2 linked regions of the Neodiprion lecontei genome follow. The protein of the gene in region 1 purifies or fractionates together with the protein of each later gene. This does not show direct contact. Links are inferred from orthologs where the notes say so. Each region holds a gene or a part of one and is shown in the gene's direction. Other genes may lie near its edges. The genes, in order: syndetin and EARP-interacting protein homolog.

Region 1 (9,530 bases):
GTAGTATCCTCTCAATGCAGAAGACCGGTTCATCCACTAGTTCGCTACCGTTGTTACCGACTCTTTTCCTACTGTAAAATTGCCAAAATGACGGTACCTGATAAAAGAATATGGGGAACCATAGTTACGATTAAAAAAGTTGCATTTGAGCGGTCAAATAAACTTTAATTATGATTCAAATTACCAGAAGAAAGGAGCCAAATTAATTAACATTGTGTTATTATGTACTGTGACTTAGTGTTAACTTCACTTGAAGACCAGCACTAGTTAAGTCTACAAAAGTACAAAGTACTTCATATTTCCCGCGTTTCACCTGCACGATGAGCAGAGCTTTTGTCGTTGACTAGCTTCAGTCGATGCTTTTACAGCAGAAAGAACTAGAAAAACATCAGTGGGGTGGCTGAGTCTGTGCGTTGACTGAAGAACATAAAGACGGATACCCCTGGGTACATTTTTGTGACCAGTTTTCGCCCGGCAAGTGGGCCCAGGCGGGCCTGGGAGCGTAGCAGGGTTCTGCTCTATCAACTCTAGCCAACGAGCTCGCACCAGCATTCGTACCAGCCAAAGTAGTGTCGGTATGAAAGCTCGAGATTGAGTCGGTACAAAGTGAGTACGTAAGACTACTTGTCGACTGCGACTTAAAAATGTCGATCAGCTCGATCATCCCCGTGAGAAGAAGCGTGACCTCGTCCACCGCCAACCGCCGTCAACCACCTCCGACCACCATCGACCACCTTCGTCCTCCTCGTCCACCTCGTCTCCCTCCTCGTCTTGCTCCGCCACAACCCCCACATCATCCTCGTCGTCCTCGTCCTCCTCGACCAACTCCGATCACCGCCAACCACGTCCAAACACCTCCTACCACCTCTTACCATCACCAACCACCTTCTACCACACCCTGCCACCTCGTACCGTCTACCGCCGCCTACTAGTTCCAAACACCTCCAACCACCTTCGACCACCTTCGTCCTCTTCGTCCCACTGCTCAACCATGTATTTACATTACTATTCATAATTATTCCAACAACTTTTCATTTGTTGCCTCGATCTTGAATTTTCGTACGCATAGAATCGAAACGCTGTTTCAGCTAGTCGCAAGTGAAGTATCTACGTTGGGTAGAGAAACAGAATTGTTTTTGGAAAAGTGTTCGTATGGAATAAAATTCAGAGTAACTGTAATACATAACGGATGCGCTAATTTTGATCGAGATGAAATGGATACTTCGTATATGAGAGAGTATTTAACGCAGCGTCCTGATTTAAAGTTCTCAAAAGGTGATTGTCGGCGATTTTTTTCTTTAATAAAGAGAGACAGAATGAAGCTTCTGAAAACTTCGAGTATATTGTAACACACATTTGAAATGTACGAGCAAACATTTTTATCATTCAACTGTCGCAGAACGGCAGTGTGATTAGCTGACCCGTTAACTGAAGAATCCTTAGTCAACGGCTGACCATCAAAGGGTCTAGCCGCTTGAGTCTGGAGACGGCAGGAAAGATAAAGTGCGTATTTCTTGTCTGAAATGTAGAAACTAAAATCATTATACATATATCATATCATATCATCATACATCGTACATTCCGTCTGTTTTCAGACCGGATAAGGTTTGTTTTTAAGTGCCAGCTCAAAAACCTTATCCGATCTGAAAACAGACGCGTAATGCCGAATTTGCGGGAAAATGGAACGACAAATAGAATACATGGCTCGCGCCGTAAAGAGGTCGAGCAGGACTTGCGTTTTACCGGGCAAATCGCATACCCTGCAACGACCTCTTTTCGGCGCTTGCCACGCAATATACTAGCACTCAAATCGGGAGTCGGTGTCAAAGCATTGCAATTATGGCTGCCGATCGTGAAAGAATCGAAGTGGATGCTGAGACAGCAACTCTTTTATTAGATCTAATTTCATCGTCGTTCAGCAGTGATGATGCTTGCTGGAGCCGAAAGATAGAGAGATTCCCAAAATTTTAAATTTCATAGGAGTAATCCACAGCATGTCCGATATCGAAGTATGGATACACATTTTTTCAGCTTCTAGAGGTCAACTGCTAGGTATATTTCAGGAGATTGGGAAAACTTGACTTGTTGCTTATTAATTTTTATCTTTTCAGCGGAATTGTCAATTTTTTTTGCCCTTGTATGCTCGTGTCTAACATTTGTGACATTTATTTACAAACAAAAAATTACCGTTGCATTTGTTCAATTGGCTTCTTTACCACTTGCTTGAAAAACTGACAGTCGCGCAGTCGGTCAAGTAACGTCACATTATTTCTGATTTAGGAGAAATTATGATTTAGTCTGCCTTTATACGTTTTACGGCCTGTTCCACTCAGAAGGTTTGCCCCGATGCCGGGCGATGCATGCACGGAACGAGTGCCCCCTGTTCGAGCCAGTGCGCACCCAGTGCAACCAGTGGAAAACGCTATAAGAGATTTCATTGGACGGATCTAATGAAATAGGCCAATGAAATTACTTAGTATAGTGTCGTGTCAGAAAATTGATGTAAAAGGAAAGCGGCCTGCGAGCTATTAAGGTTTCGGATCTCTATACTTTTTTTTAATCGATGACAGAGCTTTCGTGTCGCGAGACTTAACTTTACCGATTTGACAGCCTTGATAACGTTGATGTAGTCTTGACACATGACACGGTGCGTGGAATAGAAATAAGTCCTCCAAATGTCCAGAAAGCGCGTGTGCTAACGGTATTATTTGGATGATTCATTGCTGAGCAGAGGTGGTAACAGCCTCTATTATAACAGCTATATAAATGGATGAAAGTAAAGTGGGAGTTTTGTTGAGAAAACACATCGACATGGAGGATATCAAGTTCAAGTTCTTATCGCTGATTCACAAGCAGGTCAGTTCCTTGTTCAGCTTGTTTCTTGTAATTGATTTAAAATTGCTCTCTACCTACTATTACATTTTTGCATCTTCCTCAATGAGTTTCACAATAGTATACAACTTTGTTTCAGTGTAAAATTTCACTTGGCACTCTGTCGATACCAGTATGTGTGCCACCTTCTCGAACGCTAGTAAAACTAACCGAAGACTCGAAACAGTTGCTTTTTTTATGGCGAAAAACTGATTTGTATTTTTTTATTTTCAGAATCAGGCTAAGATCCCGTCAATGGGATTGAATCCCGATCTCCTCAACCCAATCGAATCTCAAGGCCTTAACGACATTCAGTCCGATGCTAGTCATTCGACTGAAAGCGAGCTGCTTCCCGATCAAGACATTCTGGAATCCATAGAATCTGTGTATTACGAGAGCGATGACTGCTTTGATTGTTGTCGTCATGAGTTACAGAAACTTCCCGAAGTTCTGAATTCTAAAGTAATCGAAAGAGACTACAAAAGGCTTAAACAAGAGCACCAAGTTGTTTCTAAAAAAGTGTTACAGCTAATATTGCAAAAGCAAAGCTTATGCCAAAAGGAGTTCGAAAGAATCTTGTACATTCAAGAAGAACTTCAAAATGCCTTGGAAATTTGCCGAAGTGGAAGGATGGATTTAAGCCTTGCTAAAAAACAGTTCACCACTGCTAGTCTTGGGATTTTGGCTAACTATCAAAAGAAACAAGTCGTTCAAGGGCTTCTGCATAGTTTAAACACCATAAAAACCTTAGTGAGTTCCTACTGATATTACACGTGCAGTGATTCTAGACCAAAAACCAGGTGAATTGTTTAGTCTGAACATATAACAAACTATTCCACATCGATATCAATCTTTTAATACATATAAAAATATCATGGAATATTTTTTAAGTTTTCCCTGTGAAAACCCTTGGAAAATTGGAGAGTTCAAATTTGTTTTGTTCTTTACAGATAGCCTAATAATTTAATTTAATTTAAAATTCAATGTTGCAATTTTTCTTTACCAACTCTTTTTAACTAATTGTAAATATAAATAGAAACATTATTTCGAGCTTGCAGAAATAACATAACGATAAAATTATCTAACTAGTTGCAGATTTGAAGTACGAATAGTTGATATACATAGGCAAATACTTGAGCGTCACACATTTTTTTAACTCAATGCTTGTTTTTTTCTTCTTCGAAAGCGTAGCAACGAACAGAGGACCGCCTTCAGGAACTTCTGAACGAAGGGAATTACCCAGGAGCAATATCGCTGCTCCTTGAATGCCAAAGAGCTGCTGAGAGATATAAACATTTTCATTGCGTAGCCGCACTGAATGGGAAACTCCAGGACACCTTGGAACAGGCGGAAGAAACTCTGGATCAAACGCTGGCAAAAATGTGTACAGAATTTGAAGTTGGGACGTATTTGTCTGTCCAAGGAGCGTACAGACTTCTCGGAAAAACCCAGACGGCAATGGACCAACTTCACATGCACTTTACAGCAGCTATTCATAACGTTGCTTTTATGGCAGTTCACGCTTTCACCGGTGGTGACACAAAAAGGCCTTATAAACAGCTCTGCCAGTCAGTCTCGCACGAGACATTTCTACCTTGTTTAATCGAACTGTGCAAGTCTCTCTGGGCCATTTTAATTTCCTATTGTCAAGTTGTCAATTGGCACAATACGCATGAAAGCTGGTCAGATGAGACTGAAGAAAAAGATCTAGAAGCTACCTTTAATAAACAGTATGTTAAGCAAAAGCTGGAAAATGGAATGTCCAGAATGTGGCACGATGTAGAAACCAAAATATCCACGTATTTGTTGGGCGCTGATTTGGCCTACTTCAAGTTTGAGCAGTTTGTACAAATTTTGGGAATCGTTCATAGGTGAGATCTGATATTTTACATTTACTGTCGAATTACGAGACGTCCTGAACCATGTTCCTCAATTTTCTAGGTTAATCGAAGTTGGGGAAGAGCTCTGCTCAAGTCAGTCAGAGAATCTCCAAGAATCAATAAGAAAACAGTGCTCTTCCTACTTTGCTCATTACCACGCGTCTCGATTAGACGAGTTGAAGATATTTTTGGAAAATGATGGCTGGGAACTTTGTCCTGTTAAGCCATCGTTCGTTGTCACGCAACTGCAAGAATTTAAAAGCTTGAAGACTGTCCTCAATAGTTGTAAGCCTCGCAATAGCCCTGACGAATCTACCTTGAGTCAAGATGGTAGTTCTGTCATTGGAGGACTGGTCCAAAGATATTTGGATAACGGTGTAACGCCCTTTGATGTCATCCTGGATGAAGCTGCTGACGAAGACATTTTGGCCAACATTGGAGTAAGTATAAATGAAAGAAATTGTTCAAAGTTCGTTAATAATTAATTAGAATGCAAGAAAGTGTTGTTAAAAGTAATAAAACTTTTAGCAATCTGTAGTAGTTGTCATTTATTTTAGACATTTTTTTAAACACTCAATCACCAGGTTTTATAAAGAGTATATTACCTTTTACAGGATGCACCTTCTGGGTATTTTTCAGACGATTCTGACGACGACATTCCGGAGGAACTGAAATGTGATTTTGTAGATGAGCCCGACCAATCGAAACCCTCGAAAAAAAAACATAAACAACAATTTGCTGGGCCAATGGTAACAAACACAACGTTGAGTGTGCTCAGAGTTTGTGGAAAGTATCTACAAATGTCAAGATTATTTAGATCCATTGCTGTTACTGTTATTCAAAATATGACACAATTCTTTGAACTGTGTCTTTACACTGTACACATGTTCTTCACTTCGGATCTGGTATGTTTCTCACGATTAAGCATTAAGGTTACACAAAAATCGCTTATAATTGCATTTAAATTTACCACGCTATTTCTACTATATTACGACACAAAATTTTATTTCAGCAAATAAACAGCGACACGTTGTACACTCCAAAATTAAAGTTGACCTTGGCTCGAATACGCGAGACTTTGATGGCAGACAGTGCAGTTACGACTGAGAGTGGAGCTCAGTCACATAAAGTAACACAACCGTGTCTCTCTTCGATAGTGAACTTGACTCAGCCAGAAAAAATTCATGGCTTGATGAAAAGAGTGATAGCCGTTGAATCTCTGATATTTTTGGGACAGCAGTACGAAATTTTGAGGCCTTATTTGGAGCACCTAGTAGCTTCTCCCTGCCACGGATTTCTTCATCAATTCTATTCCCAAACGATTGCAGCAGCTACAGATCTCCGAAAACCTGTTTACATGGCTGCTGCATCTCAGTCCTTCGATGTTGGCGGTATATTAACGCTGATGTCGAAAGTTAATTGGGAAGTGAGAGATGTTATGTCACAGCACAGCAGTTATATTGACAATCTATTAAGGGTAATTAGTGACAAACATTTGTGAAAATGGGTTCTGAACGGAAAGTTGATGATATTGTTACAATTATGTCATAATGTACAAATACAGTAGCAATGAAACGAATTCCTGTTTCAGGACATTCAAATTTTAAGCATGAGGCTTGAGGAAATTGGGAACAGAATACCACTTCCTATAATAGTGTACAATTCAGTGTGGGAAAATATTGCTCACTTGATCACACACACTTTAGTCGAAGGGTAAGAACTTCGGACAGATCAAAGTAATTTGAATGTATTGACATAAAAATGAATATGATATTCTGAATGGATACGTAGGCATTCAAATTGTTCGTTAATGTTGAATCTAGCAGGTTGAATTTGTGATTTCAGTTTCTCGAATGCAAAGAAATGTTCAAATGGAGGCAGAGCCTTGATGCAGTTGGATTTTACCCAATTAATGTCGAAGTTTGAAAAATTAACATCTTTGCGACCTATGCCGCACAGAGAATACGTCGAGGCATACGTCAAGGCTTATTATTTGCCTGAAAACATATTGGAAGAATGGATAAAGCAACATAAGGTATGAATTTCTATTTATATACAGTACATGATTACTCGCCCGTTTGTGATTGAACGTATTTCATTGTTGTCTGATGGATCCTACTACTGATTACAGGAATATTCTACAAAACATTTGATCGGTCTTATATCGTGCGGATGTCAAAACAACAAAAAAACCCGACAGCGATTAATATCCATCATAGAGGAGGAACGACCGAGCAGATAACAACAAGCTGTATGATCAATAACTGTAAAACGAAGTTGCAATAGAATTATAAAATTTGAATATTATCGAATTGCTGCTCTGCTATAATTATAATATAAATCTGACACAATTATTGTGATACTTAAGTTGTCAATACTGTTATGTATATGTTGTACAGTTTCTCTAACTGTTAGGTAAAAAACACATTCTAGCTTTACAGCAAATATTTCGCAAATCGGTGCATATCATTACTTAATGATACTTACATTCTGTGTTAAACACCGATATGAATCTCTCATTTGAACATGTGCGAGTAACGGTTGTTAAATATTTTTGGATTGATTCAGAAAAGATTTAAATGGAAGAGATAAAATACAGACGGGAGGCTTATAGATATAAAAATAATTGAACTGGTTTCGATTTTCGAATCCAAACCGTGACGAAATCTCCCTGCTGGCAAGTTACGATGTAATCTCATTGAACTCACGTTGGAAAAGTTATTATCTCTTATGTACATTGTTTATACGATTCTTTACTATGAATTTTTAATCCCTAAAAAGTGAAATAAAGACATATTTGTAGGTATTTATAGAGTAAGGAATTGATTGAAATTGACTGATATAGGGCACCATAAATGACACTTAGAAATAGAAGGAACCACATAATTTATTATGTTGCCTAAAAAAATTAATCTCCTTTTCAATAATAATTTACTTTTTATCAATTCAAATTCAGGCTGTTATAACAGAATATAATTATTTATAAATTCATCAGATAGCGTAAATAAATACATAAACGAAACTTAAAGTATTGTGTTACACGATATTCTTCATACTTACTAAAACTGATACGTGTGTAATAAACCAATTAGTTCTTAAAATTCGAATGCTTACTTTCCGAAATTTGATGGCCTTCCCAATAATTTCAACTGATTTCATGGCATTGAAACTCAGAGGACATGCAGCAATCACAGTCAGAAATTGCTGTTCGACTCACACCACAATATCCGTTATCAAAATTCACCTAAGAATTGTTAGCAATTATTCTACAGCTGTCATTAAATATGATAATATTGTTTCTAATTTTCATACTGGATTTGACAATTTTTACTTCTTTTTCATACTCATCTATGAATATAAATTGTAGTAAAAGAAACAACGCGTTTTTTCTCTGCTTCTATGTCACAGAAATTATGATACATTATCGTAATATATTATTATAACTTTGTCACGTTTGCTCGATAAATTGGGCTAGTTAAAAGTAATCGAAAAGTACTAGTATTTGTACGAATTATCATACTTGTCACTATATAAAGGTATAATTCAATTATAGCGACGTGGTTTGATTAGGTACAAAAAAAACATACATTTTTTTTATTATGGTCCATAATATCAGGTATAGCAGTTACACTTATCGTAGGAAACGATTTTTAATATTAAATTAGGGATTATAAAGTTTTACGATATAAAAAAGGTCGTCAACTTTTAAGAAGAAGTAATAGTGATGCATTGTTCGTATTTTATATTTATTTTTATTATTTTTGTTTTCTCCTCGCAAATTCCGGCCATGCAAATCATGAGGGGAAAAACCATTACATGGTACGAAGAAATGTAACGACAAAATGACACGAACGCGAAAATTTTTTGGACTGTACTACTAATTCTTTGCACGATTTATATAGCACATGCCGCTGAAACTAACATTGACACACTGGACGGACTAAGCACTCGTAGAATCGAATAGTTACCTAAAGTAACCATGAATCACTTACGACGGTAAATATTAATAATAGTAATAATACGTAGACTAAACTATAAGGATTATTAATTAAATCGTAAAAATAATAAATTTATGTACATAACAGGTCTTCAGTAATAGAAGAAGCGTTTAGGTTATATAATATACATATTGCAATAAAGCATAGCTCGCTTAATCTCATTTTTAAAAATGTTATATTGGAAACGTTGCAAAAACACGCGACATTTTAGTAGTCGAAATACAAAACTAAATGCCTTTGAACACACGAAAATCGATAAATATATACTCTCAAAGTGAATAATTTCGAGTATAACAAGGACGTACAGATATATACTGCTTTATATCTGAAAGTGTTGTTCACAGGTGATTTATTATCACTGCTGTGACCTCGCGGAATCATTTGGACTCTCAATCATAATCGTATATATATATAATATTCACATAATTATAATATAAGTACAAGTCTGAATACAGTGGGAAATTGATTTATAATTATAGATGTTGAAATTGCTGCTGAAGATTGTCTTCATAGAGTACATGAAGAATGTAAGTCGCGAAACATTATGATTGAGGGCTTGTCGATATGCAGTTGGGGATTAATTTACAATATGCCGATTTTCACTCGTGTCGAACATGAATAAAAAAAACAAAAAGAAAGAAGAAACGTAATCGCTAATTGTATTGCATATATTTAAGGGAAAAAAAAAAAAAAACGGCCAGTCTATATCACAGTAGCAGTATTTTCCGTTTCATTGACAGTCTTTTTATCGTCATTTCCATCTCGATCGAGGACTAGAGAC
Region 2 (6,271 bases), on another chromosome or scaffold:
AATTTTCTACGATAGACGTATAATGTTTTGTGAACGTAAAACTCCTCATTCTGTGTGCTTGCTGTAAATATTTGATCGCTATTTCGGGGTTTCTAGGGTATAATCGAGGGTATAATTTCTGTTCAGCCTGTAAGCCGAGAAGACGATCAAGATTACTACGAGTCTCCGGATCAGCTGTTGACCCTCGATCGAAATGCGTATAAAAGATGATAGACAAAGATGCACAAATTTTTTCAATACACATCATATGAACTAGAGGTTCTTGTTAACTAAGTAATCGACGTTTTCGAACCCATTAGCCCTTCTCCGTTCTTAACAAGTGTAAATATGTACAATCGGCAGAGCGAATAAATAGATCAATAATCGTTAGGACAAGGCTTCCAAAATGATTAATCCAGACGTTAGATATTCGCCCTGTATAATTAAAAACCCGTAATGATTGTCAGTACCGCTTTGCAGCCCTTCGACGTCTCGTTTAATAGCTGAGCAAAAGCATTTATCGACGCGTGATAATATTTTTAATGCATGTAGAATATAAATTTAAGGGACGACTGTCCCGGGCAATTAGCTGCCGAATTCGCTGCTCGAAAATTATACAAATTACGTGTAACGGATGTAAATCCAATATCATTCTAAGATTGGTAGAAATTGCACTCTGAAAGCACCGACTTCATGGCAATAATTTAAATTATGAGAACCGTTGGTAAACAAAAAAAATAACAGCATGTTGCAGAGAGGATGTCTGAGACGAAGGATGCCTAAGCCAACTATACGTATAATAGTAATTACAGTTATTGATACAGACAAGTCTATTTCTCGGGCATATGAACGTTGCTGAGCTGAGCAGTTTTCTTTTTTAAGGCAAAAGAGACAATTTGCATTGATTTAAACACGAAGATCCGCATTGTTCGTTCGATATTTTCCTTCAAGGATTGTATGAATTGCCAATAAATATCCTTTCCAAATGCCACGGAATTCGTTCCAACTGCAAATGCAACTAACGATTTTAGCTAAAAACAATTTGAAATCGAAACGACGATGTTAATCACCGCAAAGGATATAACAAGTTTGAGAAGATCGCACAACACGTTGATAAACTGGGATTTTATCTACTGCGTCTTCGTTGAATTTAACGTGATGTCATGCCAGCAGGATTTAAGTTTATTTGCAAAATCTGGGCGAACGAATATTGTTTACTTTTGCAAATCCTATACATGTACAAACACGTTCATCGTAGTAAAAACGTTCGATCATTTGAATAGTCTCAGGAATAAGAGATTACATTTTACCGTTCATCATTCAACGGCTCGAAATATCGGTTGCGAGAAACTTTGCAGAAATATTAATGGAACCGACGGCCGTCTTGCAAACAGGTAACTGCACGGAATTAAAAACAACGCCGCAGCAGTAGAGCGAGACACACACTCAGGTATACTCTCATCCCTGCACAGAAGGACAGTGTGACATGTGATTTTATATCGGGTTTTTGAACATCCTCGGTACAGCCGCTGGGCTCGTTGAACCGTAAACCTGTATCCGTCACAGGGACGAAGGCGTAAAAATTAATACAAAAAAACCGTCTGAATCCTGGATATTACTTACAACTGGTGCGGCGGCGTCAGCATAACTCTATTAAAAATAATGCACAGGTATAGACACGTTCACTGCACCCACGCACACGGCTCCGATGCTAATCGGACATGTTACAAAACCGATACAAAACTTCGCCCGCAATGCAACAGACCTCAAGGAGCCCTCGAAATCAACGGGTTTGTGTTCGGCTTTCGGCCACTGTGGTCCGTTTGACATAATTTATTTGGTGACCCCACGACGGCTGCTTCGGGACTTTCAAGGGTGGGGGGCCTGCTATGTATGCGTATGAAAACTCATTGTGTGCGTATGCGTGTCTGAATCGCGGTACAGGCATGAAGTAACTGGCACATGTAGATCCGCGCCTGGCGTCTGCGGGGTTTGTGGCACGACTGCGCCATCTGACGAGACTAGGGTGTGCGGTACACGATACGGTGGTTGAAAAAAAGGCTAAAGAATTTAGATACGGTATGCATTAAAAATGAAGATAAAGTCCTTTGGAAATGAAAAGCTTTTCATCCCGTTGGATGAAAGTTGAAAGGAAATTTTACACCCTTGAAAGTTTTGTCCAACTTCTATACGGTTCCACGATGTTTGAAGCTCTTCCTCAAAAAAATTACATGGTTGAGATCTCTGTTGGGTTTAAGCTCAATGACTTGAACGACTGTACTTGAGAAACTTTTTGTTGCGGCATGGTGTGTTTTGACACCTGTCAACAGTGACACTGACCCAAAGGAATTATTTTATTCTACGAAATATGGATACTGACAATCCAATAATATATGGCCTCGAGTTTCAAGTAAGAAGGTTAATCCACCAACGTTTATCTTATTACTTTCATTCGACATATTTCAACTTTACCAGTAAGACGATGTCTAACCTAACCTAACCCGACGTTCAGAGTTTGAAAGCCAGGAAATCACGAATGAATTGTTGCAAGTTTCATTGCACAGTTAAAGGATTTTCACTCGACGATTATGTTTTGAGAGCGTATTCTTAAGTAATACATTTCATATTTATTTCAGGCTAGAGCATTATCACCTCAAACAGCAGAAGCTGATATCGTGAGATTTCTGGTCGGAACGCAATCGTTGAAGTTTCACGACAATCAAGTACATTTGGTTGAACTTGACGAGGAAACAGGTAGTTTGAAAACGCAAGTCTTTCAGCACTCGATTGGAGAAATATGGAACTTACAGGCCTCTCCTGCCGATCCATCAAATTTTATTACTTGCTATAATACTCTGAATGGTGAGTGATCATTGGGCAATTTATTCGCTTCACTAACTTTTGAAAAGAAACACCTGAATAATTCTGATAAACACCTAATTCGTCAGATGAAGGAATTTGTCAGATGAAAGGAGCTATATGGAAATTGCCTCTTACCGAAACTGACGCACACGAAATCCAAAAACTTGAAAATGCAGCAGAAATTGATACAACCACTTATGGCAGTGATCTTAGAATTATTACTTATCATCCGACGGATGGTACTAAAGTTGTTTCCGTCGTAGACAATAACTTTGTACTCTGGGACCTAGCAGCTAGTGCTCCCAAGGTATTTCCCTTTGCTATTTACAGGGCAATTTGCGATTCAATTGATAATTCAGTCTGTAACAGATATTAATAAATTTATGAATTTCATATTATTTTCTCAAAATTTTAGGCAGTTACGCAAGGGACCTTGGCTAGTAAAGGTCAACCAAAGTTTACTACTGGTAAATGGAATCCACATAATACTTGCAATCAATTTGTAACATTAAATGACAACCACGTGCGTGGTTGGGATTTTAGAAATCCAACTGATCAGGTGTGGGCAATCCAGTCAGCTCACTCTCAAATTATAAGGTGAAGATTAATCAACTCATCTAAATATTTTCACTAAATTTTGCAAATTCAGCAACAATGTATTGAACCTACGACATTGCAGAGACCTGGATTTTAACACCAACCGTCAATACATCTTGTCAACCTGTGGTGATGATGGCTATATGAAATTTTGGGATATCCGACAGCCATCTGAGCCTGTAATGTCGCGAATGGAGCATTCTCATTGGGTTTGGAGTATCAGAATAAACCGTTTCCACGACCAACTAGTTCTAACATCTAGTAGTGATTCTCGAGTAATATTATGCAGTATATCATCTATTTCTTCAGAACCGTTTGGTCACCTAATTTCAAGCGAAGACGAACCTGCGCAAACCGATGATGGCTCCAACAAAAACAAGTAGGCGTATTCAATTTTATTTTTTTGTCACCTTATGACGCATGATGAGATAAATATCAATCCATGTTCGTTATTATTGGGATTCGTGAATAATTTTCAATAGAGCTTGCTCAATTATGTGCCCAGTACTTACACTCAAGGGTCAAAGTCAAGTTTTGATCAAGCATCGATTAGAGATCTATTACCGACTCTGAAGATCAATTCTATTTTATATAACCAACAATTTCAGAATGGAAGATAGCGTTGTAGGAAGGTACGAGGAGCATGAAGACAGTGTTTATGGAGTTGAATGGTCATCTGCTGACCCGTGGACTTTCGCGTCACTGAGTTACGATGGCAGACTGGTAATTAACAAAGTGCCACGAAAATATAAGTACCAAATACTATTGTAAATATTAAAAGTAATAAAGAATTAAATTTTATATAAATTTAGAAAAAACCTAGTTTTCATTTTGCGTAAGAGTAAAGAATTGCTCAACTGGTACAAGTGACGACCAATATTATTGATATACCAATCAACCTGCAGTTGATACAGAGTATTATGTAATTATTCGACATACATACTTTGTTACAACTCGCAAGAGATAATTGAAACCATGAGTAAAAATGTGAAATAATTTTTGTCATAGACAAAAGGTAGGATTTATATTCCTCTCTCTGAATTATGTACAATAGTTTGAAGTATTTCTTCCAGTGTACAAAAAAAAGTTAGCCACAAATACACATAATTATACGTAAGCAGTTTGTATCGAAGCAAATGAGAATTTGCTAATCTGTTACAATTGCTCAATCCAAATATTTAAGACTGTTATTTTCACTGACACGGTTTACGTTTGTTAGCAATATGGTAAACATAAAAAGAAAATAAATTTTGCTGGGGAGTTTTGACTGAAACGTTTAATTACAATCGCTCTGATATTCGGCCAGCGACATTCCTCAATTGACCATAAACTTTTGATGGTGGACTTCCCAAGATTAAATTGCAAATTGCTCTTCGTGCAAGTTGTATATTTTGGAAAGATCCAAGAATATGAATTTTAGTATCAGCCAAAACTATTCTTGTTTTTGTCACATTTTCAATGGTAAATTTTGTTCTACCCCCTTTGCCAGCTAACCTACCTATCGCTCTGGACAAATGGTCACCCTTCAGTGGTTTCACATCTTGAACCTCGAATGTTTCGACAAATAAATCATCCAACCGCAATAAGGCCAATGCATCTTCGACTTCAAAACCATTGATGAATGCCCGCACAAAATCAGCAGCTTTTTGAAGATTTGATATATCAGGTGTGTCAGGGCATGTACGAATTTCTACATTTCTAGATTTCAAATTAAAGCGAATTTGAAGTTGTAGATGCTCAACAACAGGGGTGAAGATCTTCATCCAATTCTCTTTAAGCGGTGTATATCTATGCGCAGGCACTGGAACCTGAAGAAATCACGTGAATTATTTTAACATGTTGTTGAAATGTTGACATTACAGTGAAACTTCCTAATAGCAAACACCTTTGAGACCAGAAATCTTGTCCGCTATAGAGAAGTGTCCGTTACTAAAAGGTATATTTTTCATTATGCTTTTCTACCGGAGACTTCTAACTTGTCCGTTATAAAGAGGTGTCCGCTGTTAAGAGAAGTTTCACTATATCGCGAAATGATCATTGGAATACTCACCTTCCGTTGCTCACCACCTTGGACATTTTTGGCTCGTTTGACAGAAGATTTAGTTTTCGACTTCCCTTCGATACCATTCACCGCATCGACCTGAAAATCAGCATGAATAAATTTTCCAATATTCGATAGAACAATAGCAGGTTATGATTAAAAGTGACGAAGAATACTGAGAACCTAAGAATTTGTAGTAACATAACCTCTTACTTCCATGTGAGTTTCACTATTCTGGCGTCTTTTTCCCGACGTCTTCGCCTTGGATTGTAATTCTTCGTTGGTTTGCATCTCGACATTGTTTTCAGTCATGTTTTACCAAACTTAATATATGTTTTAATTTTTATCTTACTTCAACTTGAAAACAAATGTCTGTAAAAAGTCAAAATAGCGTGGATATTTTATTGCAGAGAGCCAAAGATCTCGTTGGATCTTTTATAATTCTCAACCATAGACGTACACGTTGAGAAACGAAGGATAACTCGACTCAGCATTCTGTGACTATCAATCATAGACGATACAAAATAACCATGATTCGTACATACATACATATTCGAAATCTGACACATCACTTGCTCTTACTTACCGACATGACATCAAATTCATATTTTACGTTGATTTAATTTCAGGTACTAGCATATCTTCAGCATTATTCGTGCAATATTGATGGCAATTTTATTACTGACAACTCGTTAGAAAATAGCCGAATATACAGTAAGCTCTAAATGTGCGCCTGCAGGCCTCAGTAGTAATGCATGGGAATTTACAGAAACCTTACAGAGAAAATATAAA

The links.
Region 2: the proteins of syndetin (region 1) and EARP-interacting protein homolog purify together in Homo sapiens (affinity purification with mass spectrometry; 4 studies listed by BioGRID and IntAct, counting the BioPlex papers as one, with this or other methods). This does not show direct contact. The link is inferred for Neodiprion lecontei from reciprocal best matches to the Homo sapiens genes VPS50 and EIPR1.

Annotation. Positions count from the first base shown.
Region 1 is NC_060266.1:19,305,192-19,314,721, reverse strand, and holds syndetin, read left to right. Parts: upstream 1-2,566; 5' UTR 2,567-2,766; coding exon 2,767-2,856; intron 2,857-3,105; coding exon 3,106-3,621; intron 3,622-4,062; coding exon 4,063-4,742; intron 4,743-4,812; coding exon 4,813-5,191; intron 5,192-5,365; coding exon 5,366-5,656; intron 5,657-5,763; coding exon 5,764-6,228; intron 6,229-6,342; coding exon 6,343-6,464; coding exon of another isoform or gene 6,465-6,468; exon of another isoform or gene 6,469-6,487; intron 6,488-6,596; coding exon 6,597-6,786; intron 6,787-6,882; coding exon 6,883-6,993; 3' UTR 6,994-7,557; downstream 7,558-9,530. Other genes in the region: sodium-dependent transporter bedraggled, read right to left, coding at 9,452-9,530.
Region 2 is NC_060262.1:28,533,045-28,539,315, reverse strand, and holds EARP-interacting protein homolog, read left to right. Parts: upstream 1-2,214; 5' UTR 2,215-2,347; coding exon 2,348-2,389; intron 2,390-2,615; coding exon 2,616-2,841; intron 2,842-2,927; coding exon 2,928-3,148; intron 3,149-3,256; coding exon 3,257-3,438; intron 3,439-3,520; coding exon 3,521-3,817; intron 3,818-3,849; exon of another isoform or gene 3,850-4,046; coding exon 4,047-4,209; 3' UTR 4,210-4,245; downstream 4,246-6,271. Other genes in the region: RNA-binding protein pno1, read right to left, coding at 4,719-5,246, 5,489-5,578, 5,693-5,791. UniProt on the Homo sapiens protein: Acts as a component of endosomal retrieval machinery that is involved in protein transport from early endosomes to either recycling endosomes or the trans-Golgi network.